2 linked regions of the Drosophila melanogaster genome follow. The protein of the gene in region 2 interacts with the protein of the main gene of each other region in a pairwise test. Each region holds a gene or a part of one and is shown on either strand. Other genes may lie near its edges. The genes, in order: Vhl and awd.

Region 1 (3,652 bases), on a different chromosome or scaffold from region 2:
CTGCTCCACGAAACGGCGCCTCAGTGGGTGACCGACGTGGTGATCGAGAAGAACATTCCCAAGTTCCTCAAAATACCGTTCTTCCTGCAGCCTCACCCGCAAATGACCAAGCCTGAACGAACGAAGAAGGTAGCCGTCCTTGACAGCAAACAAAACTCATGTTCTAACGCAATTTATATTAAATTTTTTAGGATCGTCTTGTGGCTAATGAATTTATTCAGTGTCGCAAGGTCTGCGAGCACGTGCTTGAAAAGGTGCTGAATGCGGAAACTACCCCAAGTGGGGGCAATGCTAACAATTCACTGCAGAATAGCCAGAGCGATGCTAATTCGGAGGGATCCCAACTGCCAGCTGAGGAACGAATTGAACTGTGGTGTAACGATGTGGTAAGACAAATGGACAAATCTCATTTAAAGGACCTTGTTCACCGCCTTTCCTTTAAAGGTTGTGGACCCCAACATGGACCTGCGCACGGTGCGCCACTTTATCTGGAAGCAGTCGACCGATCTAACGTTTCAGTACAAGACCAAACAGAATTTCAACTACGATGGTAAATAAGAGAGCCCACGCATTGAACAACACAAGAACACCTATCACAAACACAACGCATACTTGATTTCTGCAATTGCTATTGCCTAACCGAGAGTTGTGCTTATATATATCCGCCCCATAGGTTCGATCGGGGATAGCTTGGAGCGCGTGACGCGCAAGTATTGAACGCTGGCAAGTGATCTCCCGCCTAACCGAAGCAGTACCGATGCATTATTGAATGAGAACGAGATTGAGCAGATCGATTAACAATTTATATTTTTATAAGTTGATTTTGCAATATATTTGAGTTAACCTGCGATTCGTCTCATCTCTTCTCGACTCGACTCGTGGACAAACACAAACACATTCAAGGAGAATCTGTACGAGCGTTAACTTTAAATTTAAAAGTGCACCGGAGTACTTTTGTTTGTTCACTTCTCGTTAGGAATAAATATGTACTTCAGATTCAGACTTATAACAATTAGGCTTGCGACACACGTAGATAAGCATTGCAAAGGAGTAACTGCAGACATACCATTAAATCGTATTTGCATCTGAAGCAACTAGACCTAGAGTATTGCGCATATATGTATGTATGTAATATTCACACTTGTTTCACATTAGGTTTATACATAATTATTTACATAGAACATACATAGGTATAAGAAATCTGTTAAATATACAGAAAAATCAATGCAATGGTAGTAGCCCAACTTGTAAAGAGCTCTATGCAAGCCAATTTGTACATAAGTAATAAGCGAAAATCGAAAACCAGGATGGAAATCAATTAAAGTTATTAAATTATTTGGAAATCAAGCCTGTCTCTCAGTCCCTAAGATGATTACCCGCCCTCTTAACTAACAACTAGGAGTGTGCTCCTAACGCCGACGTCGCGTGCCCGCCACTCGGGAATAGGACTCGATGCAGGTCAGCAGGCTGAGCAGCTGTTGCTTCAGCGTCGAGGGTATGTGGTATCCGTGGATAATCCTCCGTGGCGCGTTGCTCGTCCGGATCAGCCAGCGGGCGACCAGCCAGAGGCAGTTTTCGCGCAGCGATCTCATCGGAAAGTGGATCAGCACTTCGCTGCGTACGTCAACCAGCTGATCCGGACTCTGCTGGCTCTTGGGTACCCGCACCCGAATCGGCTGAAAGATCCTCTGCGAGCGTACGTGCATCCGTTCGCCCGTGTAGTAATCCCGGAACAGCCAGCTGTGTGTGGTGAACGTGTTCACCCGCACCTCCTCGAAGGGCTTGAGGGTAAGGTACATGTTCTCCCGCTCCCGCTCGCACACCCAGTACAGATCCAGGGTGCGATAGGTGGTGTTTGCAAACAGCACGTACACCTCCACCTTTCCCTGATCAGCGCCCACCAGCTGCTGGCCGTCGCGGTTGTTCTGCGCTATTTGGAGCGCCATCTCCAGCAGGGTGCTAAGCCGATCTGCAATGGCTGCCAAATCAATTTTCGTTGTTTTACGTTTGCACAAGCCGTGGGAATTGGATTGAATCAAATCACAACAAGCTAACAACAAGTATAGATAAAATTCACTTCTTATCAGTTACGGTAACATTTTTCCTGCTGCGTGTCACTGCAGCTGGCCACACTTTCGATGAATGTCTTATCGATAAGGGGTAAATCAGCTGATTTGCCTCCGCCTCTCGCGAAAAGTAAACAAATAAACACCAAGAAATAACAAAATATGGCATTTTGCATAGCAGTTATTGGCAAGGATGTGAGTTTTATTTTTCATTTGAATACAATTAATTGCATGACAAATTCCCCACAGAACGCCCCCCTGTACCTGACCACATCCGATATGGAGCAGGAACTGGAATTGCAATATCATGTTAACGCCGCCTTAGACGTCGTGGAGGAGAAGTGCCTGATTGGCAAGGGTGCTCCGGAGTCCAAGGAGCTGTACCTGGGACTGCTCTACTCGACAGAGAACCACAAAATGTACTTGGGTGTAGTTATGCTGGTGAATTTGCAACTGATTGGTGGTTGATTTCATTACAGATACGGCTTTGTGACCAACACTCGGGTGAAATTCATAGTGGTCATCGACTCCAGCAACGTTGCCCTTCGGGAAAACGAAGTTCGAGCAGTGGGTATCCAATCTAACTATCTAAATGAAAGCCCCAAATACCTCCTACCCTCTGTATCTTCCAGATCTTCCGAAATCTCCACTTGCTCTACACCGATGCCATCTGCAATCCCTTTTACATTCCCGGCGAATCGCTGACTTCAAAGTAAGCGGGCTTCTCCTTAAAGAATATATAAGTTGCTCTTAATACGTTACTTTTATATCTGCAGGAAGTTCGATCGCGCTGTCCAGAAACTGATGAGCGGCACTGCCTAGCTGTAGATTAATACTGAACGAATAATAAAGCGAATTATTTATCAAATGCATACGTCTTTCTAGGAGGGATGTCAAGGTGGCCTGGCCAAGTGCCCGCTCCAAGCTAGACTCAAGAGAGATACGCACCGGAGATACGCAAACCGGTCGTTGGCTGGCTAGCCGTAGCCAAATATTATGCTAATTCGACATTTTTGACAAAAATAATTCGAGAATTAATTATATCTTTACAATGTGTCTGCTAGTTGACACATAGTTAGTTAATGTCTCCGCGTCAAACTCGTCTTCCGTCTGTTTCGGGCATTATTATGGGATTCAATGCGAACTTTAACTGAACGGCAATAACGAGGCACACATAAACATGTATTTTGTCTTATCTAATGCATAATTAATGAAATCAAATCCTACGCGTCTCTAGACTTGAACTTGGGCGCCACCGGCAGAGGTAAGCTGAGCATCAGTATCATATAAAAAGCAGGCAGAAGTTCCAGTTCGATATCAGTTAGCCTTCTCAAGTCTTTCAACAATCAACATGAAGTTCTTCGTAAGTGGCTTTATCGCAAATTGATCCTTTAATGATTCTAGCTGATTTGTTATTTACAATCCTTGTAGATTGCTTTCGCCTGCCTGTTGGCCGTCGCCCTCGCCAACGAAGATGCCAATGTTCTCCGTGCCGAGCAGCAAGTGAATGTTGACGGCTTTGCTTACGCTGTTGAGCTGGACAACTCTGTCAATGTGCAACAGAAGGGTGACCTTAACGGCGAAGA
Region 2 (3,299 bases):
CGACGAACAAAAACAAAGAAAACGCCGGCGACGCTTATATAGACGAAGCCAACATCGGGTGATACGTGCAACCGTCAAATCTGAGGCTGCAGAACAGAAGTTCTCCATAGAACCGCCCCGAAATACCGCACTGGAACAAGCGAAGCACATATCCCTGCGAAAACAACGCGATGCTGCCTCCATTTTGGAGACCTTTGATCTTCTGGAGAAACTTTGCGAGTCTCGTGGAGGAGACAGAGCCGCCCTTTGCCAAAAACTGACCCACATGCGTCTTGTTTGGCGCAGAGTCCAAGAAGAGACTCAAGCTGGCCATGTCAAGGAGTCCAAGAAGGTGGCTTCACTTGAATCTCAATGGAAGGCTGTGTTCTTCGGCCGATCCTTGCCAACTCCCAAATTAAATAAGGGGAAATTTCTTGAAATTCGGTATGTCTAGGGAAATGCATTGTCCGGCGGGAGCTCCCTTTTAATTGCATCGCTTTTTCCAGCTCCACATGGGATTCTTACATAAGCTACTGTGGAAGAGGCTCCTCTATACCCAGAGGATGGGTGCTACCGCCAACAAAGCCTACAGCTCAGTGGATAGGCTATCGACTATCCTTAACTTAATATCATAGAAACCTTTCCAAAGCTCACACTCCTTATAAAGAAGCAAGATTATATAGTAATTATTGTGGAATTTTATTTCTTTAGAAGAATCAATCTGTATTCAGCTTAGACGAGGGCAGACAGTTAAAGTAGCCGTCTATTCGTAGATCCAGTCCTTGGCGGCCGGGGTCCAGGTGACCAGCTCCTTTTCGTTGAACCACAGGGCGATCTCCTTCTCGGCAGACTCGACGGCATCGGAGCCGTGGATGATGTTGCGTCCGACCTGAATGCAGAAGTCACCGCGGATGGTGCCGGGCAGCGAGTCGGCGGGGTTGGTGGCGCCGAGCATCTGGCGACCGGTCTTGACCACATTCAGACCCTCCCACACCATGGGCACCACGGGGCCGGAGTTCATGTAGTTCACGAGTCCGGGGAAGAAGGGGCGGGCGGACAGATCAGCGTAGTGCTTCTCCAGCAGCTCCTTGGAGGCCTGGTTACAAAACGGTTCGTTATCAGTTAATTGCAGTTCTGACCTCTAAACACATGTCATTCCGCGATGACGCCTGCACCCAGCCTTTGAGGTTAGGTCCGATGGCAACCCCGCGTGGGGCAACCCGTTTCCACGTATTTATATCTATTGATTTCTTCCTAATTCAATTATCCGCTTACCCAGGTGAACTTCAGGGCGACCAGCTTGAAGCCCTTCTGCTCGAAGCGCTCGATGATCTTGCCGACGAGCCCGCGCTGGACGCCATCGGGCTTGACCATGATGAAAGTCCTCTCCTTGTTAGCCGCCATTGTCGCCGAGATTACAGAAAAGAATGCCAAAATTGTGCCGAGCATCAGGAGCTTCATGTGTTCGCCGTTGCAAAAAAATCCCGAATACGAAATGCCGGCAAGGTGAATTGTGGGAAATCGTCAAGTGGTCACACTGGGCAGCCAGCCGCGTTCTTGAGTTTTTGTTTTTGTTGGGCGATTTAAAGGATAGGAAAATACTTGTTATTTAAATTCCAAAGCGGAAATTTGAGTGCATTGCTAAAGTATTCATATTTTTTTCAGTTTATAACCGCTCAAATGGGGCTGCCATGTCGCCTTGTACTTTGAATTTCAGAATGTATTCTGAATGCATTTCATCGAATAATTTAAAGCAAAAATAACGAAAACTCAATAGTATTATTTTTAATTACTAGACACATTAAAACATTTAAAAAAAAACAAAGAGTTGCCCACAGTTGATGATAAAATGCCCGTCAAACTAGGATAGTTACTAGGCACTCATTAGCATCAGCATTCCCACCAGTTGATTCATCCATCCAGCAGGTTAATCAAAAACCACAGGGAAGTCACGTTCAAATTTCTTTTTATGTCTCGATAAGATTAGGTCCATGTGATCACAGAAGTGACAAAACAATACAAGTTTACGACTAATATATACACAGCTGGTAGATGCAAATGTTCGGCGAAAATCACTTGGTCGCGTCTAGTTTGGCTAGGCCGTCGGCATATTGGAACTCCGGACTGTTCTCGTACTCGCACATGTCCAGGGCGATGACGCAGCTCTCCTTGACCACGCGCTTGTCGTCCTCGGCGTAGCGGTTCAAGATCTGAATGCAGTCCTCTGTGGCGATGGCGCCAAGGGCCTCGGCACACTCGTGACGCACCATTTCGTTTTCCAGGCGATCCTCCAGATTCTCTTGAAGGAAGGGAATGCTGCAGGGTTCTTGCAGCTGGCCCAGTACGAAGGCCACCTCGTGGCGGAAGAGGGCGGAAGAGTCCTTAAGTCCCTCGGCAATGGCCAAGACACTCTCTTCGGTGCGCAGATTGCGCAGGCTGAACATGGCCCTATATCGATCGAACAGGCTCTGCTGGGCATCCAGATAGATGGCCTTCAGCTCGGTGACGCTCTTGTCGCCCGCAGTTGGCGGTGAGGGATCAACGGAGGCGTAAGGGTTGCTGTCATCTACCTTTTGGCCACTCTGCAGCCAGCGGACGCGGTCCAGAGCAATGGCACATGTTTCGGCCACCTCCACTACCGGATCTTGTTTGTACTCCTCCAGAATTGGCAGCACATCTGGATGACCAATGGCGCCCATGGCCTCCGCAGCCTCGTGGCGCACCATCGGCTCCTGGGTGGTGTCCTTTAGCACCTTGGTGAGGATGTCTAACGCCTGTGCGTCCTGCATCTGACCCAAGCAGTAGGCCAGCTCATGTTTGAGAAGGGCCGAATCATCGTCAAAGGCTTTGCTGATCGCCTCGATGGCCGCTCCTCCGCCGATGTTCTTCAGCGTGAAGAGGGCTCGAAAGCGCTCTTTCAGTGGGCGTTCCTTGTTGTTCAGAACGCCTCCAATGGCCTCGATTTGCTGCTGCGAAACCATTTGTATGCGGTGTGGACTTATAAATAAAAAACTGCAACGGGCCGCGTGTGGTGTCGCAATGTGGCCATACACTCAGTACTTGGTAATACCAAAACTACAAGTAATCGATATGACGTGGCTATCGATGGACTATGAGTCGATGAAACGGCGCTGCCAACGCGTTTAGAGTACAAATTGTGCAGCACTAGCAAGAAGCAGTTTAGTTACGTTTACTCCGTAGAAGCGCGATACAAAAAAGTCAATAAAAGGGTGAAAAGCGAACGTTCTAGACACAGAAAGTATTCAAAAATACTGACTCAGTCCTGGCGCAGCATCGGTGACCAAAAGAGCGGCTCTTCA

Evidence for each region.
Region 1: the proteins of awd (region 2) and Vhl interact in a two-hybrid assay, tested with the Drosophila melanogaster proteins (one study listed by BioGRID).

The regions. Positions count from the first base shown.
Region 1 is NT_033778.4:11,278,172-11,281,823, reverse strand, and holds Vhl (von Hippel-Lindau), read right to left. Parts: upstream 2,100-3,652; 5' UTR 1,947-2,099; coding exon 1,410-1,946; 3' UTR 791-1,409; downstream 1-790. Other genes in the region: CG9062 (uncharacterized protein), read left to right, coding at 1-129, 192-386, 445-550, 674-717; CG9067 (uncharacterized protein), read left to right, coding at 2,229-2,261, 2,316-2,485, 2,546-2,633, 2,699-2,778, 2,843-2,888; Cpr47Eg (cuticular protein 47Eg), read left to right, coding at 3,418-3,429, 3,498-3,652. UniProt on the Drosophila melanogaster protein: Involved in development of tracheal vasculature. Probably involved in halting cell migration at the end of vascular tube outgrowth.
Region 2 is NT_033777.3:31,744,516-31,747,814, forward strand, and holds awd (abnormal wing discs), read right to left. Parts: upstream 1,563-3,299; 5' UTR 1,429-1,562; coding exon 1,255-1,428; intron 1,076-1,254; coding exon 743-1,075; 3' UTR 657-742; downstream 1-656. Other genes in the region: CG1896 (uncharacterized protein), read left to right, coding at 1-423, 486-606; nero, read right to left, coding at 2,052-2,960. UniProt on the Drosophila melanogaster protein: Major role in the synthesis of nucleoside triphosphates other than ATP. The ATP gamma phosphate is transferred to the NDP beta phosphate via a ping-pong mechanism, using a phosphorylated active-site intermediate.